2 linked regions of the Caenorhabditis elegans genome follow. The protein of the gene in region 2 interacts with the protein of the main gene of each other region in a pairwise test. Each region holds a gene or a part of one and is shown on either strand. Other genes may lie near its edges.

Region 1 (3,926 bases), on a different chromosome or scaffold from region 2:
AAATATTTGATTTTAAGAAAACCTTATATTATTTATTCAGCACTGACTCAAATTCTTTTTTTAAACTATCATCCGTACATCTACAGCGACCGAAACATGGAAAATGAGGATTTTGCAAAATCGGGAGGACACTTTCAATTTCCATGATTTTTGAAGGCCTTTTCAGGTTTAATCTCTATTTTTAATCTCATTCGAGAAATTAGAAGATAAAAATTTCAATCCGCGCTTTTCGGGTAAGAAAGGAATCGGGATATCCTTTAAATTATTGAAAACTTTATTGAAAAAACCGTATCAAGAAAATTCAAACATTTCCGGATGGGAGTACTCAACAAAAAACAAATCGAACACTTTAGCAATATGATTCTTCTCTTTCCGATCCCTCACGTCTGCTTCAATAGCTCTATTGATCTTCATCAGCCTCGCAAGTCTTCCAGAATAGTTGACTAGCTTCAGCTTCTTGGTATAATACTCGTGCATATTATCCGATTGAATTTGCAGTATTTTCTCAGTGGCTTCTAGCACGTGGCCCTGATATTTCTGCCCAGCACTGTTCAGGCACAACTGAATGAGCATGAAGTTGAGCTCAACGTTTGTGGGGTCCAGTTCTACCAGGTCCGAAAGAGCATGTCGCCAGTATTTTTCGATATCGGGGACTAGAAATCTGAAAATTAAATTTAAAATTAAAAAATCCAAAGCCGCCATAACCCTCTCAACTGCTCCACAGAATAGTTCGAACTCCATTTTATATCGATTTTAACATTTCCAGGATTCATGCAAGTATTGTCTGTCCACATGTATACATCATTTCCCAGCAATTTTTGTCTATGAAAATCCGCAGTTGCTGCTAGCTTGTCCAGTCGAGCCCAAATCATCCAGGAAGTTTTGAGAATATCTATCTAGAAAAATTCAAGTAAATATGTAGAGCATCTGATAAAAAAGCATTACCTTAATTTGCGGGTCTAGCATCGAAAATTCTGGAAGCCTGGCAAACCATTGAGCAGCTCCCAAAAATGATTGCTCCAAAAATAGCAACGCCTCATTTCGTCCAATAGTTGTCGCAATCTCCAGTTTTTTGCTCGACTCTTTTAATTTGATTTCTTCCATCTCGAAGGTTAGCTTTTCCAGTGAGTTAGGGTAATGATTAGGACTCCATGAATATGCAGCATCCTGGAAAGACTTGATGAGTAATAGTTAAAAATTTTGCGTGAAATCTGATGTAAGTTTCAGGAATACACCATATTTTAGGCGCAAATATATCTCCATTACCTCTTGAAAAATCGCCCAAGCTTTATCGACAAGACTTGTCACATCCACCAGACGTTTCGTGGAGCTGGCTTTGTCCGGCTCACAGCACAAAATGAATTCGGGCCGGCCGAGAAAATTTGCCAAACTTTGAGGTGCGCTGGTTTTCGTGTAGTTCGTTGGACGGAGGGAAGACGAAATGAGGTCCCGGTCGTTTTGAAATTCTGTAAATGACATGAAATTAATTTCATTCTATTCGTTTAAAAAATACCCACTGCTCGAGTTCATCCCAACTTCACAACACTTTTTCAACCGACAGATTTTACAGCGATATCTGAAATTTTTTACAATTTTAATTTTTCAAGTTTTCAGCTTCTACACAAAAAAAACACTTACAAATCATTTCCAATGCAATTTCCCTTTCTGCAAACTCTATCCTGATATTTTGCATTTTGAAGTGCGGCTCTTCGGAAAAATGCGGCACACGCTCGGCAACTGAGCACACCGAAATGATTGCCGTGAGCCGGTTGCTCGCAGATCTCGCATGGCCCGGAAAGGTAGAGGGCAGGTGGCATTTTTAGTTATACATAAAACACGTGAAAGAACGATGATCAATGGTAGTGTAGAACCGATAAAACGTGCCGAGAGACGCAGACTGTTGAAGGAAAGGAAAATAAATAGACTGCGGTTTTAGGGTGTAGGGAATATCAAAAGATCAACAAATAAAAATAGAGTGCCGTTATATAATAGTCCAATAAGTACAAATTCCATAAAAACACAAAACCTGTTAGGTTTTTCAAAATTTTCAGTCAAAAAATCTCAAAAAAGTTGGGCAAGTTTTAAAATTTTTTTTGGTCATTTTAAAACGCATGGGTGGTTTTTTTTTAAATTTATCCCTGACAATACTTGAAAGAAAAAGTTAGAAAAACATTTTAAATGCTAAATTATAGCAGCGAACTTCCAAAGTTCAGTGAGAGTTTTTTAGTTTTCTCAATGGAAAACAGCAGTTCTAGAAATAACAAAATTTGATATCTTAAAGGCGGAGTAGCGTCAGTCGTGATTTTGCCTAAATATACTTATTATGATCCAAAATGACCAAATATTATAATAAAACACTCGAAAAAATTTTAGATTTTTCATAATTTCCGGTCAAAGTTTTGTCCAGTTGCCAAAATTTTTGACTGAGTAATTGTCACTTTTTGACAGCAAATAAACAATTTTCAAAAAAAAATCTTTGAATGGTTTTATTATGATATTCGGCCACTTTGGCACCATCGGAGTAGTTTTTAACACTTTCCCCCACTGGCGCTACTCCACCTTTAAAAGTGATGATTGAATAAAAATTTAATTTTTCATTCAAAATTCGATTTTTTTTAAATCAAGGATACATTCATTAGTAAGTTGTTTAACAAAAATTTTATTGTCAATTATTAATCAAGTGCCCTCAAACATTTCCGGATGCGAATAAACAATTGAAAACAGGTCAAAAACTTCGACAATCTTCGCTTTTTCCTTTCTCTCCCTCACATCTTCCTCGACAATTTGGTTGATTTTCATCAGTTTTGTCAATCGTCCAGAGTATGATGGCATGTTCAACTTTTTGGTATAATAATTATGCAAATTATCTGCATTGATTTGCAAGAGCTTATCAGTTGCCTCTAGGACACGTCCTTGAAATTTCTTGCCAGCATCGTTAAGGCAGAGTTGAATGAGCATGAAGTTGAGCTCCATATCTGTTGGGTTGAGCTTCACGAGGTCTTCCACTGGCTGTCTCCAATGCTTATCAATATTTGGCATTAGGAATCTGTAAAATTTTCTCTTAAGAAAATTTAAAAAACCTGAAACTTACGCTTGCATTTGCTCTGCACCGTAATTGGTACACCAGCTCCAGTCAACATTGATATCCTGCACATTCAGACAAGTGTTTTCTGAGCACATAAAAATGTTTGCACCCATTTCTTTAATTCTTTGATTTTGTGCTGTTTCAGCTAGCTTGTTCAGTCGAATCCAAAGCATCCACGTGGATTTTAGTATTTCCAGCTGGAAAATTACAGACTTTGTTGGCTCGAAATTTAAATACCGAATACCATACCTTAACACGAAGATCCAGACTTGTAAAATCTGGAAGTCTTGCGTACCAGTTCGCGGTCGCCAAGAACATTTGCTCGAAAAAGACAAGCGATTCAGCTTTCCCAATATTCCGCACAATTTTTACTTTATGATTTGAGCTTCTTAACCGCAAGTCTTCCATTTCCAATGTGAGCTTTTCCAGGCTATTGCTGTATTTGTAGGGCATTGGTGAGTTGGCTAGGTCCTTAAAATTGCACAATAGCGAGCAACCGACAAATTACAGGACGGCAAAATTTGATGCGAAAAAAACATCAATTGGCCCGTGAAGTGTCGGCTTGTGCCAAAAAATAACCTTTACCTCCTGGAAAATTTCTGCAGCTTTGTGAACCAAATCCGTCACATCTATCACTGTCTTGAAAGGAGAAGCCTTTTCGGGCTCGAAACTTATTATGAATTCGGGCCGCCCGAGAAAGTTTGCCAAACTTTGTGGAGCATAAACTTTCGTGCGTTTAAGGTATGCATTGGAGCTTGAAATAAGGTCACGGTCCTTTTGAAATTCTGAACATTTAGATATTAAAATTTTTTAAAAATTCTTTTTAACCCACTACTTGCGT
Region 2 (3,926 bases):
CGTAATCTCTTGCTCAAACTTTCGACATCGGCACTCTTTGTGAAGTAGTCGGTATCCGTTACGCAATTGATATACTCGTCAACACAGCCACCCACTTGTACTACATTTATACAAACAGGAATTAAATGAAGACACCTACTAACTATACTTATATAGAAAGTTCTAGCCAATGAAGGGGTCGAAAGTATTTTTCATTTTTGTAACAAAATTAGTTGAAAGTATCTAATTGACAAATCCTATACTAGATATAATGTCTACCTATCTTAACTTCCAGCCAAAATCATTTAAATTTCAGGAAGAACATTTTTGAAACACAGACACGAAAATTCTCGTTTTGTGCGCTAAATATACAGTACTCCGTCTCGACAAGAATTTTTTGTTAGTTATTGTTAAAATTTATGCTTTACTGAAGTTTTTGATTAGTAGATATATTTTTATCAAACAACTTCAAAGAATCGTTAGAAATTGAACTACAACGAAATTTTTTAATTACAGTACTCTTTAAAGGCGCACAGCATTTCGAATTTAACAAAAATGTATCGTGTCGAGACCGGATACGGTATTGTTCCCTCAAAATTTGAAGTTTTCAAAAGATTTCAGCCTTTCTTAAATATGAATTGAAAAGAAAAAACTCAAAAATGTAATGTTCTAAAATGACAGTAGAGGTATATTTTGCACTGGACATGCAACAGTGCTCCTGATACTCAAATAACGATAAATATCTCAATTCAGACTTTTATATATTGAAAAGAAAAATGAATAAAAATACGATGACAGGAAAATAAGGGGTACAATGAAAGTATTGGGGTATAAATGAATAAATTACAGAAAAAAATGTAGAAAAACGAATCGATTTACAAAATTCCAAGTTCTTTCTTTTGCTTTCTCTTTTGCTTGATAACATCAATATTACGCTCCTTCCATGCCGATTTTCTCAATTTAATCGGTCGATTTCCAACATATTTTCCGTCCATTTCACGCATAGCTCTCACATAATCCTCCGAATCTCTGAATGAAACGAATCCATATCCTTTACTCTTATTTGTTCGTGATTCTCTGACAACTTTGGCTTTTTGGAAACTTGGGTATTTTCGAAAAGCCTTTGCAAGAAGTTCATCCGACACTTCATTTCCCAGATCTCCACAGAAAACTCGAAAATCATTTTCATCCCATTCGGCAAGAGATGGATCTTCCCAAACCTGACCACCACCGGATCTCACAAACTTCTTTTTCGCTTGTTGTTCCTTGATTTTCTTCTTAAATGGATCGGTTTGCTTTTTGAAATTCATCTTATCAATATCTGATTGAAGAGCTTGAGTTCGCAGAAGTTCTTGTGGAATTGCGTTTACTGCAGGTGTTTCATATAATGCTGGAGCACCTTCAATAGTTGCAGGAGCCGGAATTCCGAGTACTCGAGGAGGGAACATTATCTGTAAATTTAATATTCAATTGAGAGTAATATTCACATAACTTCAATTTTTAACTTTTCTCTCAAAAATTTATGGCTTTATTCATAAAATAAGGATATTTTTTAAGTCAACGGAAAATCAAAACTAACCGGTGCAGCTCTTAATTGTGGAGGCATGAAAATTGAAGGTGGAACTGGAGGCATTGTTGGAAGCCTCCCAAGTGCCGGGTTGATAAATGGAGAAACTGCAATTGTGGCAGCTATCGGAATAAACGGAGGCGCTGCCAAAAGTGATGGTTGAATAACTTGAGCACTAGAAGTAGCTGCTGATGACTCGGAAGTAGTTGGTCCTGCCGAAATTGTTGCATTATCGTAGCCAACATGCGTTTGAGAGCTTGCTGGCTCCTCCGAATTGCTACTCGCTTGTTCAAGTTCGGCTAACTCGCTTTCAAATCTAAAATAATATAATTTGTTTGATAATAAATATAGGAAGAATCAACTTACAAAGCCAGTTCATCATCCAAGTTGGCCATTGTTGAAGGGTGAGCGTTTCAGGCTGAAAATAAGTCTAAATATAGTCAGAAAGTACAGAAACTTTGCGACAGATAAATCAAAAAATATTAATATTTAATATTATTATCTTTAACACATAAATGAATACAAATAAAAGGAAAATAGCTTTTGTTTCGAAAAACATTAAAAAATTGATAAAAATATTAAGAGTACGCAAACACCGCATGAAATAAGCCAGAGACGACGCACTTTTGCGTACTCTAAAATTTTTTCTGTTTTCCTATTTATTTTTTTTATCCTCCCAATTTTCACGCTTTACTAGTAGTTTTGTGCTCATAATTGTTTTAAAATTTAAGAAAACACCCTCTGAAGTTCCAAATATTACCTCATCCGCTTTTTCTAACATTTCTTAAGAGATATATTCTGTATCTGCAGAAAATGTCCGGTGAAAATGACGTTGAAATGCATGATGAGGATCCAGTGGAGGATATAGACGAGTCTGAAGAGGAAGTTGATGAAACTGATGATGAAGACGAGGAAGTACCGGAGAATCAGAGACAAGTGAGCTAGAAATTTCGTACAATACTTCTAATTGTTAAAATTGCAGGCTTACATTCCAGGCCTCAGCCGGCCATTGAAAAAAGGAGAAGAATTGGATTTTGACCCTAGTGCTTACAAACTATTTCATAGTTTCAATTCTGGTGATTCAAACGAAATTGTTTCTAAAATATTTATATTTTATGATTTAGATTGGCCATGCTTGTCGTTTGACGTTGTTAAAGATGGTTTGGGCGAGAACAGAACACAATTCCCTGCCGAATGTTATATTGTCAGTGGAACTCAAGCCGATAAGCCAAGGGATAACGAAATCATTGTGATGGGATTGAAGAATCTTACAACGATGAGGGTTAGTCGGTTTCAAACTTTTTTATTATTTACCTGTTATGAAATTGAAATTCCGGCCAACGTTTAGTTTTAAGCTCAGTAACACAATTGTTAAACTAAAAAAAACAAGGATATCTCTACAATAAAAGTGAGTATTTCAGAAAGAAAAAGAAAACAAAGGCGACGACAGTGACACCTCTGAAGACGAATCCGAAGATGAAGATGCCGAAGAAGAGAAGAAAAGAGAACCAAAAATGCACGCTGTTTCGATTCCTCACTATGGTGGTATTAACCGAATTCGTTCCGATCGTCTTGGTGACAGTACTGTATGTGCTTGCTGGAGTGATCAAGGACGTGTCCAGGTGTGGAATATCACTGATGCATTGAATTATACTCATGGAATGAGCGGAGAGTCGAAGACTGAAGTGCAAAAGATCGATCGACCCTTGTTCACGAATAATGGATCTGGAAAAGAAGGATATGGACTTGCTTGGTCTTCATTAAAAACTGGAGACTTGGCTACTGGTGATATCATCAAAAAGATTTATTTGTGGCAAATGAAGGAAGGAGGACAATGGGCTGTTGGAGCTAATCCATTAACTGGACATAAAAGTAATTTATTTAATTTTGATCTGAAAATTCCAAAAATTGAAATGTGTCTCCTGAATGGCGTTTGAGTGGTTTTTTCTTGAATAGATTGGAAAAAAACAAAAATCTGAATTAAAAACTTGTCTTTGTCGCATAAAAATTTTTGAGCATTTTTCAGTACATATTCCAATATTTTTCAGAGAGTGTCGAAGATCTTGCATGGTCACCAACTGAAACTGGACTTCTTGCTTCATGTTCCGCGGATGGAAGTATCAAACTATGGGATACACGTTCTGCTCCAAAAGATGCCTGCGTCTGTACAGTGCAAAAAGCTCATGAATCCGATGTTAATGTTATTTCGTGGAATCGTCACGAAAACCTCATTGTTTCTGGTGGTGATGACGGAGAGCTGAAAATTTGGTCTTTGAAAACAATCCAATTCGGTCAACCAGTGGCACTCTTCAAGTATCACAATTCACCAATCACTTCAGTCGACTGGCATCCACATGAAACAACGACATTTATGGCTTCC

Evidence for each region.
Region 1: the proteins of grwd-1 (region 2) and nhr-133 interact in a two-hybrid assay, tested with the Caenorhabditis elegans proteins (one large-scale study listed by BioGRID).

Annotation. Positions count from the first base shown.
Region 1 is NC_003283.11:2,210,257-2,214,182, forward strand, and holds nhr-133 (Nuclear hormone receptor family member nhr-133), read right to left. Parts: upstream 1,863-3,926; 5' UTR 1,818-1,862; coding exon 1,639-1,817; intron 1,577-1,638; coding exon 1,518-1,576; exon of another isoform or gene 1,514-1,517; intron 1,467-1,513; coding exon 1,267-1,466; intron 1,168-1,266; coding exon 946-1,167; intron 897-945; coding exon 706-896; intron 662-705; coding exon 292-661; 3' UTR 254-291; downstream 1-253. Other genes in the region: nhr-184 (Nuclear Hormone Receptor family), read right to left, coding at 2,677-3,046, 3,092-3,282, 3,335-3,556, 3,671-3,870, 3,918-3,926. UniProt on the Caenorhabditis elegans protein: Orphan nuclear receptor.
Region 2 is NC_003281.10:5,151,187-5,155,112, forward strand, and holds the start of grwd-1 (Glutamate-rich WD repeat-containing protein 1), read left to right. Parts: upstream 1-2,277; 5' UTR 2,278-2,359; coding exon 2,360-2,482; intron 2,483-2,528; coding exon 2,529-2,622; intron 2,623-2,670; coding exon 2,671-2,828; intron 2,829-2,967; coding exon 2,968-3,418; intron 3,419-3,594; coding exon 3,595-3,926. Other genes in the region: rbm-42 (RNA-binding protein 42), read right to left, coding at 855-1,430, 1,559-1,862, 1,913-1,941.